Canis lupus familiaris: one gene and its partners. The protein of the gene in region 3 purifies or fractionates together with the protein of the main gene of each other region. This does not show direct contact. Links are inferred from orthologs where the notes say so. Each region holds a gene or a part of one and is shown on either strand. Other genes may lie near its edges. The genes, in order: COP1, SQSTM1 and TRIB3.

The links.
Region 1: the proteins of TRIB3 (region 3) and COP1 purify together in Homo sapiens (affinity purification with mass spectrometry; 5 studies listed by BioGRID and IntAct, counting the BioPlex papers as one, with this or other methods). This does not show direct contact. The link is inferred for Canis lupus familiaris from reciprocal best matches to the Homo sapiens genes TRIB3 and COP1.
Region 2: the proteins of TRIB3 (region 3) and SQSTM1 purify together in Homo sapiens (affinity purification with western blotting; 3 studies listed by BioGRID). This does not show direct contact. The link is inferred for Canis lupus familiaris from reciprocal best matches to the Homo sapiens genes TRIB3 and SQSTM1.

The regions. Positions count from the first base shown.
Region 1 is NC_049228.1:23,215,884-23,220,288, forward strand, and holds the start of COP1 (E3 ubiquitin-protein ligase COP1), read left to right. Parts: upstream 1-1,462; 5' UTR 1,463-1,788; coding exon 1,789-2,210; intron 2,211-4,405. UniProt on the Homo sapiens protein: E3 ubiquitin-protein ligase that mediates ubiquitination and subsequent proteasomal degradation of target proteins.
Region 2 is NC_049232.1:2,129,034-2,132,677, reverse strand, and holds part of SQSTM1 (sequestosome-1), read left to right. Parts: intron 1-622; coding exon 623-703; intron 704-996; coding exon 997-1,056; intron 1,057-3,644. UniProt on the Homo sapiens protein: Molecular adapter required for selective macroautophagy (aggrephagy) by acting as a bridge between polyubiquitinated proteins and autophagosomes.
Region 3 is NC_049245.1:20,955,987-20,959,630, reverse strand, and holds part of TRIB3 (tribbles homolog 3), read left to right. Parts: intron 1-3,381; coding exon 3,382-3,644. UniProt on the Homo sapiens protein: Inactive protein kinase which acts as a regulator of the integrated stress response (ISR), a process for adaptation to various stress. Inhibits the transcriptional activity of DDIT3/CHOP and is involved in DDIT3/CHOP-dependent cell death during ER stress.

The DNA of each region.
Region 1 (4,405 bases), on a different chromosome or scaffold from region 3:
TGGTTCTTGGAAATATGATAAGCTCATTCCTCTATCATTATCCTGAGCAGAAAGTAGGAAGGTAGGAAGGTAAGCAGCAAAGGCTGATGTGGGGATGACAGCCTTTTGATGGAACACTGCTCAGATGAATGGCTAGGTCTTTTTGTTGGGCTTTCATCAGGGCCCCTCTGGTTCAGTTCATTCAGCATGGATAAAGGTTCCTAGGGAAAGGTCTTCAAAGGACAGAATTAAATCTGGGATCTTGGGCAGCCCGGGTGGCTCAGCGGTTTAGCACCGCCTTCGGCCCAGGTTGTGACCCTGGAGACCCTGGATGGAGTCCCACGTTGGGCTCCCTGCATGGAGCTTGCTTCTCCCTCTGCCTGTGTCTCTACCTCTTTCTCTCTCTCGCTGTGTCTGTCATGAATAAATAAATAAAATCTTTAAACAAAAATAAATCTGGGATCTTTCCCTCTAAGAACCACAGGACGAGGATTGGAAAAGAATACCGAAAACAACCCAGTTGTTTCTAATTTACATCACCCAGAATCTTGGGGAGTCTCAAAATGGCAAATGAAGAACCTGTATCCAATTTTCCGTATTCCAAAAAGCTACCAGAAATTACACATTTCTTTTCTTTTTTTCGTGGTATTAAGCGCCAGGTTTCCTTGTTTTGTGGTAGAGGATATCAGATCCACATTAAACCGAGATTCTGGCTGAGCCGTGGTCAGATCAGATAGAACTGGTTTTCTCGTCATCGTCATGCTTAATTTGGTAAATTCATGTTTCAAGATGCAAGACAGCACGGTCGGACCAATAATAATCGATAACACTTGCTACGATGTTTGCAATTTACAAAGCACCGGTGACTGACTTCATCTTAATGGACTCCTCACAGCCGCGTGGAATGAATGGCTTAACAGCAGGGCCCAGACTCGTGGAGGGTCAATGCAGGGCTCTTCTCAGCCGCTCAGAGCCCCGGGTCTTTCCCGTAGCGTCCACGGAGGCTTCAGAAGGCGACTCGGAAGCACCTGCCATGCCCGGGCCGCGGGCTGCAGCCGCGTCTCGGCCTTCAGGAAGGCGGTCGCCCCACGCAGTGCTGCAGCCGGTCCGCGCCAGCGCCGCTCCGAGCGGGGGGCCGCGACCCGGGCGGCAGCCAGGGTCGGCGCCCAGAGCGCGTGCGCAGTCGCTTCGGCGCGCTCCCCTCCCCGCCAGCTCCCAAGCGCGGGCGCCACCCTATCATTCATTCCCCTCTCCGCAGCCCTTTCACCCTTTGGGACAGCCCCACCCCCTCCCTCCCTCCCTCCCCTCCCCCTCCCCCTTCCCCCCTTCCCCCCCGTACGTCACCCGCCGCTCGGCTGCGGACGAGCGCAGCCCGCGTTGCTAGGCCGCCGCCGGGGGCGCGCCGCGCGCGTCCCAGCCGCCCTCGAGGTTGTCTCCGCCGCCGCTCCCGCCCCTTCCGCCGCTCGCGCGCGCGCACGGCCGGCCCTCGGCGCGCCCCGGTTGGCTGCGGCGGGGCTCGCGGCGGTGGCGGCCTCGGCGGCGGCAGTGGTTTCTCCTCCGCTGTTTCAGTTTCCTCCGCCCCCTCCTCCCGTCGGACGCGGCTGTGTGCTCGCCTTAAACAAAAAAAAAAAAAAAAAGAAAAAAGAAAAAAAAAGATCAACTTTATTGTTCCTCAGCCCCACCTCCCGGCGCGGCGCGGCGCGGCGCGCGGCCTCAGGATGCACTGAGGTTGAGGGGAGGTGAGGGGAGGGAGGCGGCGGCGGGTCGCGGTCCCTCTCCGAGCGCCCGGCCGGAGGTGGGGGAGGCACGATGTCCGGGAGCCGCCAGGCCGGGTCGGGCTCCGCCGGGACCAGCCCCGGCTCCTCGGCGGCCTCCTCGGTGACTTCCGCCTCCTCGTCCTTGTCCTCCTCCCCGTCGCCCCCTTCGGCGGCGGCGGCGGCGGCGGCGGCGGCGGCGGCGGCGGCGTCCGGCGGGGCGGCCCAGGCCGCGGGGTCGGGCGGCCTCGGGGGCCCGGCGGCGCGGCCTGTGCTGGTGGCGGCCGCCGTGTCGGGCAGCGGCGGCGGGGCGGTGTCCGCGGGCCAGTCTCGGCTCAGCTGCGCGGCCAGGCCCAGCGCCGGCGTGGGAGGGAGCAGCTCCGGCCTCGGCAGCGGCAGCCGGAAGAGACCTCTGCTCGCCCCCCTGTGCAACGGGCTCATCAACTCCTACGAGGACAAAAGCAACGACTTCGTGTGGTGAGTTGGAAGAGCATCGCCCTGCCCGCCGCGGCACGAGGAGTTTGCGCGGTGTGGGCTGGCGGGGTGCGGCGGGAGGGTGGTCTAGGTGGTGCCGGGGCGGCGTCTGCAGACCCTCAGGCCGGCGGAGGACGTGGGGGTGACTGCGGAGGCCCGGGCTGCTGGGGAGGACGTGAGGGGAGTCCAAGGAAGAATTACGCGTCAGGGGGCCGAGAAGGAGGGTCGGGTAAATGGTGGTGCGTAAACGGGGAAAGTTGGGCCTTGCTTTTTTTTTTTTTTTTTTTTTGTTTTGTTTTTTTGTTTTCTGGTGAATTTTCTGCTTTCTGGTGAATTCGACACCCTGTCGGTCCGGATTTCTTGTTGAACTTGTAAAAGGAGAGGATTAAGCTTCCTGGGAGGCCGAGGGACGGAGTTGGTCAAATTTGCTTATTGGAAGTGTGGTAGATGGTGCTCCAGACGTGGGTATGGATATTTTAAGGAGAAGTAGTATTTCATGTCAGTATCCCTCGTGTGTGTGTGTATAAATATCCTCCCACTTCAAAGGGTAGGCCACTTTTAAATCTGCTGTTGAGGCTACTGTAGTCATAAAAATCTGTTCACAAAAATTTCCACTTGTCACTAAATGCCTTGGACGCGAGGGAACCACATTTATTCAACAGCATCCATGTGTCGGATGTAGCTGTACTACATTTGTGTAACAGGTTACAGTGCCCTGGAACTTCCGATCTGAGGAACGCCAGGTAGTAGACACCTTGTCATCATAGTTGGCATCTTGAACGATACACAGTAGTATACCGTTAGGATGTCTGGCAGAGTTGGGTTATCTATATTAAGTGAGAGATGGAGTGGATTGTCTTGCTGGAAGTGTTTTGGGATTTCTCATTGGGTTTTTGTATCCAGAACCCAATCCAAACAGTAGGAGTAGGAGAAAGGAATTGCTTCTAGTTAAGTGAGAACGGGTAGGATTTTGCACTTTTCTTTTGGAGGAAATTGTTGATAGACTTAGAACATGAGTAGGAAGTTGGCTTGCGCTGTCATTATAGGGGAAGTTGATTTACCTCAGGGTTGAAGATGATGTGAGTTGGCATCATTAAGTAAGATTGGGCTACACGATGGAACTGTAGGAAAGATAATTGATTAGAGTTTCTAGGTCTTGCAGTAAAATTATCTTCACTCCTATTTCTGCTTTGGTCTTACATTACTCTGGATTGAGACAATTAATTCGTTTCTCATTGAAACTTGGCTATAATTGTTATTTATAAATAATTTAACTAGCTTATGGGTGGGTCTAAGAGGTGTTTATGCTCATACCCAGTAAGTAGGGTGCCATATGATGAAGTAGAAGCTGATGAAACAAAATGAGGATTTTCAAAAATTCTCTTTCTCTTTTTCTCTTTCTTTTTCTTTTTCTTTTTCTTCTTCTTCTTTTTTTTTGTTTTTTTAAGATTTATTTATTCATGAGAGACCCGGAGAGAGGCAGAGACACAAGCAGAGTGAGAAGCAGGCTACCTGCAGGGAGCCTGATGTGGGGACTCCATCCCAGGATCCCCGGATCACACCCTGGGCTGAAGGCGGCGCTAAACCGCTGAGCCACCCGCGCTGCTTGGATTTGTCTTTTTAACCACCATTTGCATTTTAATTAATTAATTATTTTATTTTATTTTTAAAAGATTTTATTTATTTATTCATGATAGACATAGAGAGAGAGAGGCAGAGACAGGCAGAGGGAGAAGCAGGCTCCATGCCGGGAGCCCGACGTGGGACTTGATCCCGCATCCTCAGGATCGCGCCCTGGGCCAAAGGCAGGCGCTAAACCACTGAGCCACCCAGGGATCCCCACATTTTAATTTTTAGAGGGTTAAAAGAAAACAAATATGCCAGCATTCCTATAGGTGCACTGAAATAGTAGTGAAGATGTGAGAAATAAGAGAATCAATAATTTATTCAACAGATATTTATTTGGCACAACTGTCTGCCAGGCACCATGAGTTGTATATTGACTATTTTGTAGGGAATTAGAGAGCCATAGGATAATATAAGCAGTTGGCATTGGTTTTTGTTGTTGTTGTTGTTGTTCTTTGTTTTTGTTTTTTGCAAGGAGGGTGTAGTGGTGGTGGTAAGATCATTAAAATTTTTGTCTGTCACCTAATTTTTAACTATTTCAGTCTACTCTCCCAAGTCCTAACCTGGAAGTT
Region 2 (3,644 bases), on a different chromosome or scaffold from region 3:
GGGGAGTGTCCTCTTCATTTTGCACACAGGACATGGAGGCTCCTGATGGCCCATGGCCACTGATTCACCTACACTAGATTTAGACTCGGCCCAGTCCTAAACCACACCCCATCTTGTCAAGCCTTTTTATTTATTTATTTTTTTTAAGTAAGCTTTATATCTAGCTGGGAGCTTGAACCCACGACCCTGAGATCAAGCATTGTATGTTCTACTGATTGAGCCAGCAGGGCATCCTGCTGAAATATTTTTAAGCGTATTCACAGAGTTAAACACTTAACATATAACTTGTGTTTCAGAATTTTAGATTCTGGTTTTATTCTAAATTTATTATTTTTCTGTTCCTCTGGTTTACCTTGTTCTTTGGAACCAAGGTGAGGAGGTTTGTTTGTTTGATATTTGACATCTGAGCTAGAATGGGGTCCATATTTCATACCCCATGCAGTGAATCCCCCCCGGCTTCTGAACAGCAGTGTCACAGAGCAGCCCAGAATGGTGGCGATGGAGGGGCAGGGTCCCAGGGATGGATGGCCCCTGTGATGAAGGTGATGTGATTGTAACAGGTGTTCAAGTCCTTGAGAAATCTGCTTTGAATTGAATGTTTTTGTTTCTTTGAAAACCAAAGTTTCTGGTCCATCGGAGGATCCCAGTGTGAATTTCCTCAAGAATGTCGGGGAGAGTGTGGCGGCTGCCCTGAGCCCTTTGGGTAAGTGGCTGCCTCTGTACTTTGGGAGTGGCAGCAACTCCGAGTGCTGGGTGATGGGTGGCTTTGGGCGGCTGGCCCCTGGGTTGCTGTAGAGGAATGCTAACTGCCGTGCCCTTGTAGCGTCACATAGGCCTTTGCCATAGCGCGGCACTGCAGGCCACTCATTTGAATTCCCTGACAGATTCTTGAGCTTTCCCCATGGAATGAAGTGGAATCAGAGTGGTTGGTTGGGATAATCCCAGTAGGCTGAGCTACGGGGTTGGCCTGTCAGCCTCTGACTGTTCTTCCCACAGAGGACAGTCTGCTCCTCACGTCCACCCTACAAACAGCCCAGGGTTTACTCAAGGACTTGGGTGAGTCATTAGTTGAGAGGCCATTTCTCTTTTCCTCCCTTTTGTCTTTTGCAGTACCAGCCTTTTTGGTGCTTGCCGAGTACCAGGCTTGTGCCCATGCTAGGGAGCAGGGCATGAGGGAGGCGGGAGTTCTATATGATGCCCGGTACCTGGCCCTCAGTTCAGGTGTGAAGTGTCTGGGTGGGTGAACCAAAGCAGGTACCCCCGAGTGGTGAGCCTGGCCCAAGGCTTTAGAAGGCACCTGTTGCATCTGCAGCCCTGACGGTGGTCGCTGCAGGGCTGGGCCCTGTGGCAGTGGGAGTCCATGACAAAGGTGATCTCTGGTGCAGGATTACAGCAGGTCTGTGATCTTTGCCTAGAAGAGCGCTCACCTCTGTGACTGCGGTGGCAGGAAGTGTCCGCTCAGGTGGCCTAGAAGGCCTGTCTGAAAGGATGCAGATGGGAAGGGAGGCAGGACTGCTCTTGCCTCCCACTGGATACCGTTTCAGCTGCCACTCCTCAAGGCCAGGACACAATTTCAAAGCAGCAGTGATGTCCTGGCCTTGCTGCTCCGTGAAATAGCTCAGACCATATACTGTTTTTGGGACTGGAGTCAAAGGCTCTTTAGAGAAAGTGAAAAGAGCGCTGATGTTCTTAGTGCTTTCTAAGGAGGATAAAAACGGAGCAGTGATTAGGTCATAATCGGGAGATAAGCCTATTGCTAAACCCCGGCTGCCACTCGAGATGTGGTGACGAAAGCACGAGGCTGTGTTGAACTTTGAGAGATGGTCCTCTAATGGGTTGTGATTTAGGGGCACGGGAAGCTGTGCAGAATCCCAGGTCAACATTCTGGATCCTGGTAAATTAGTCTTGGGTTGGGCCTGGGATCTGTGTGTTTTGAAGGCTTGCCAGTGACTTTGGGTCGCACTTGCTGTCCATCCTGAGGCCCATCTGCGCTGGGGGCATGTTTTAGAGCTTGACCCAAATTCCCTACACAGGACTTACGGGAATAATTTTGGCAGTGCTCAGGTGTTGTAGGATAAGGGTAAAGGCCTTTTCAGGTCTTTCAAAGTGGATGGAGTTACTTTGTACCAACTCGGGAGGAGCCTAGAGCTGTCCAGAAAAACAAGGGAAGTTTCAGTAAGTATGCCTTTGAGGGTTTCAGTTGAGGAGGGCCACTTGAGGAATTGATTCAACTCTAGAGTTATAGGTATTTTCCTTTGTTACAAGGAACTGACAGCTAGGATGACTCATCCTGCTAACTGCCTAGAAGGGACTGTTCCCAGAGCAGGGGCCCAGAGGGACAGACAGTAATACCTCCCAGAGGGCAGACTGTGTGCAGTGACTCAGCGGTTTCAAAGTAAAACCCCAAGACCTTGTTTGGTAGGTGCCATAAGAACCAGCTGAGCGGGTCTACCATGGAGTCACAGGACTGCTCTGGCTTGGGTTTGTAGTCACTGATTCCTTTACAAAGGTCCTGTCATTTGCTCACACAGAAAAGTTAGACGGTGTATGGGTGTTCACTGTACTGTTCTTCCAACTTTTTTGTTTGGTTGAACCTTTCCTTTTTTCTTTAAAGGTTTATTTCTTGAGAGAGTGCGTGTGCAGGTGTGGGGGAAGGGCAGAGGGAGAGAGAATCCCAAGCAGACTCCCAGCTGAGCACTAAGCTGGACACATGGGGTTTGAGATTAGAACCTGAGTTGAAACCAAGGGTTGGAAACTCAACCTACTGAGCCATCCAGGTGCCCCTGCTTGACCCTTTCATGATGAAAAGTTGGAGGGAGGGGGCATCTGAGTGGCTTAAACGTCTGTCTTTGGCTCAGGTCATGATCTCAGGGTCCTGGGACTGAGCCTCACATTGGGCTCCCTACTCAGTGGGGCGTCTGCTTCTCCCTCTGCCCCTCCACTTGTGTTCTCTCTTGCTCTCTCTCTCTTTCAAATAAACGAATAAATAAATCTTAAAAAAAAAAAAAAGTCGGAGAGAGGATAAAAGGAGAAAAAGGACTTAAATATTGCAGATGGGAGTATTGGTAACTAAGCCTGTCTTTATCTCTGTTTGCTCCTCACTCTACCAAAGTGACAATAAAGGGATTAAACACAAGAGTATAAAGCAACACAGACAAAGAAAAAGGAAAGTCCTAGATGACGAGGTAAGATGACCTTAAACTTTGAAAGACAAGCAGTGGATTTTGAGGGTGGTGAGCAACTGTGTGGAGGCATCAGAGGCCAGGGAATTGGGGGTGTTTGAAGACCAGTCTTCAGGATCCTGTAGCCATTACTGGCTGGTCAGCCGAATGATGGTCCCTGCCATCCCAGGCATGAGACCTGATGGTTAGATGCTGGAGGGCACAGGGCGAGGCGGCAGCCTGAGTGAGCAGTCGGTCCAGCAGGGGCTGAGGTGTCCCTGCTCGGGAGAGGCCATGCGTGCCGGGGCAATGTCCTGTAGCTCTGCCACCCAGGATCCCACTGCCTGGCCAGGTGCCCCATCACCCTCCAGAGGAAAGCGAATCATGGCCCTGGCCCCTCAGGGGGTTCCTCCTGGCAGCCTCCTCTTAATAATGCCTTGCTAGGATCAGACTGCCGTGGTTGCCAGCCATTGGGGAAAAATC
Region 3 (3,644 bases):
TAAGCATCCGACTCTTGGTTTCAGCTCAGGTTATGATCTCAGGGTCATGAGATCGAGTCCTGCATGGAGCCCTATGTGGGGCTCTGTGCTCAGGGCTGAGTCTGCTTGAGATTCTGTCCCTCTCCCTGCCCCCACTCACACATGCGCTCTCTCTCTCAAATAAATAAAATCTTAAAAAAAAAAAAAAAAAAAAGAAGAGTACTACAAGAGTGATAGGCCCCTCTCAGCACGCCTTGTCAGGAGACATGTGGTGATACATAGTACTGTGATGTTAACCTCAGTCATTTGGTTAAGGTGGTTTCTGCCATGTTTCTCTACTGTAACATTCCTAATTTACCCTTTGTAATTTTTTTAAAAAGATTTTATTTGGGCAGCCTGGGTGGCTCAGTGGTTTAGTGCCTCCTTCAGCCCAGGGCATGATCTTGGAGACCCTGGATCGAGTCATTGATCATTTAATATTTTAATATTAATTAAATTAATTAACTTCAATTAATTTTAATGAATAAAAATTAATTAATTAATCAATTAAATATTTAATATTTAAATTTTTAAAAGATTTTATTTATTTATTCAATGAGAGACACACAGAGAGAGAGAGAGAGGCAGAGACACACAGGCAGAGGAAGAAGCAGGCTCCAAGCAGGAACCTGATGTGGGACTTGATCCCTGATCCCAGGACCACGCCCTGAGCCATCCCAGGCAGGCAGGCACTCAACCGCCGAGCCACCCAGGTGTCCCTACCATTTGTAATTAAAAGGTATTGGGACGTTTGGGTGGCTCAGTGGTTGAGCATCTGCCTTTGGCTCAGAACGTGATCACCCCATCCCGGGATCGAGTCCCACATTGGGCTCCCTGCAATGGGGCCTGCTTCTCCCTCTGCCTATGTCTCTGCCTCTCTCTCTGTGTCTTTCATGAATAAGTAAGTAAAATCTTTAATAAATAAATAAAAAGTATTTACCTTTTGGGGCGCCTGAGTGGCTCAGTCAGTTAAGCATCTGCCTTAGGCTCTGGTCATGATCACAGGGTCCTAGGATTAAGCCCCACATCTGGCTCCCTGTTCAGCGGGGAGACTGCTTCTCCCTCTCCCTCTGCCTGCTACTCCCCCTGCTTGTGGTCTCTCTCTCTCTCTGTCAAACTAAATAAAATCTTTTTAAAAATTTTTAAAAATACATACATACACACATACATACCTTGGGCAGGTACTTCAAGGCCATGAGTATAAATACTGTTTCTCCTCAAACTTACCCACGGATTTCACAGGGCATCCACCTTGCCTGTAGCAGTTACTACTGTAATGCTTACCTAAGGGTGATTTTCTATTTCCTTCTACATTTTATTCTATAAGGAACATCCTTTAGTAAGAAGTAGAATGTAAATTTTGTAATGATTTTTAAGCTAATACACAGCTTCAAATAATTTTGAACTTAGGGCAAGTTTCATTACCCACAGGCCTGCCAAGGTGAAAAAGTGCTTCTTTTTTTTTTTTTTTTTTTTTGAAAAAGTGCTTCTTTGTCTTTTTAAGGCAATAGTTTGCGAAGCACTGTTTATAGAAGAGGGCTGGTGGAGTCAGACCTGGCTTTGAATCTTGGTTCTACATTTTTATCTGCTCTTTGGTCTTGAACAATGGCTTCACCTGCCTGAGCCTTGATTTTTTTCATCTGTAAAATGGGCCAAGCACCACCCAGAGCTATGATTCACAGGACTGGTCAATGTTTGTGAAATGCCAGCGGACACCCAGGAAATGGTGTCATAGAATAATCTTAATAGCAGTGGTAATTTTTTAAAAAGTGGCATTGGTAACAATGTTTATTATTAAAGTAACCCAGAGGGGATCCCTGGGTGGCGCAGTGGTTTGGCGCCTGCCTTTGGCCCAGGGCGCGATCCTGGAGAACCGGGATCGAGTCCCATGTCGGGCTCCCGGTGCATGGAGCCTGCTTCTCCCTCTGCCTGTGTCTCTGCCTCTCTCCCTCTCTCTCCCTCTCTCTCTCTCTCTCTCTCTCTGTGACTATCGTAAATAAATAAAAATTTAAAAATAAATCAATCAATCAATAAATAAAGTAACTCAGAGTGCTCTGTGGAAATTGTTTAAAGTGGAAGTTGCAAGTGGGTTACACACACTTTTTTTTTTCTTGCCTCATTTACATGTTCATTTGTTGTTGGTGGGTTTTTTTTAAAGATTTTATTCATTTATTCATGAGAGAAAGCGAGAGAGGCAGAAATACAGGCCGAGGTTGAAGCAGGCTCCATGCAGGGAGCCCGACCCAGGACCCGATCCCAGGTCCCCAGGATCACGCCTTGGGCTGTAGGTGGCGCTAAACCGCTGAGCCACCTTGGCTGCCCTGTTCATTTGTTTTTGATTGAAATTGGCTGCCAACGTTTGAAAAGTGGGATTTTTCATTAGAATCTGATTTCTGGCTTCTCTTGGGGAAAAATGGGAACGTGGGGCCCCTTTGGGAACGGTGAGAGGTTCACAGCCATGGCGCTTAGTAGGTGAGAGCTGGGGCTGTGAGACGGACTGTGAGGACGAAATGAGACACACCAGGTAATGAGTTTGGCTCTGGGTCAGGTACCCAGGGGACACCCCATAATATCCACTGTAATGTTGTGAGCCGTGCCCTTTCAGGCAGGGTTTGTGTTGAGGTGTTTGGCATGGTCTCCACTTCTATTTCTCTCACTTTATTACCTGCTTGGATCCTGTTTGCCTCTGGTTAAGGAGAGGCTTAGTGTTCTTGGCCCCCTCGTCCCCTCCCCAAGGGACTATTGGAAATGGGCTCCTCTCAGAGTCCTAGTTCAAACTGAATTGCTCTGTGGCCTTGAGAAATGACTTAATACCTCTGAGCCTGGTAAAATGGGTAGAATGTGATTAATCAACCACTCAATTCTGCCAAATGCCAGCCAGCGCTCAGAAACCGGGTGCCATCAAGGGTGATAGTGTGGGGACACCCGGGTGTCTCTGGTTGAGCACCTGCCTTCGGCTCAGGCCGTGATCTCAGGGTCCCGGGATCGAGTCCCGCATCGGGTTCCCTGCGGGGAGCCTGCTTCTCCCTCTGCCTGTGTCTCCGCCTCTCTCTGTGTCCCTCATGAATAAATAAATAAAATATATTTTTTATTTTTTTTTAATTTTTATTTATTTATGATAGTCACAGAGAGAGAGAGAGAGGCAGAGACACAGGCAGAGGGAGAAGCAGGCTCCATGCACCGGGAGCCCGACGTGGGAATCGATCCCGGGTCTCCAGGATCGCGCCCTGGGCCAAAGGCAGGCGCCAAACCGCTGCGCCACCCAGGGATCCCTAAAATATATTTTTTAAAGGGGGTGATAGTGAGGGGTGGCGGCATGGGAGTCCCCATGAGAGCTGACCCCTCTGTCTCCACCTGCCACAGGACAAAGCTGGTGCTGGAGAACCTGGAGGACGCCTGTGTGCTGACCGGGCCCGACGACTCCCTGTGGGACAAGCACGCGTGCCCAGCCTACGTGGGGCCCGAGATCCTCAGCTCCAGGGCCTCGTACTCGGGCAAGGCCGCCGATGTCTGGAGCCTGGGCGTGGCGCTCTTCACCATGCTGGCGGGCCACTACCCCTTCCAGGACTCAGAGCCTGTCCTGCTCTTTGGCAAGATCCGCCGCGGTGCCTTTGCCCTGCCTGAGG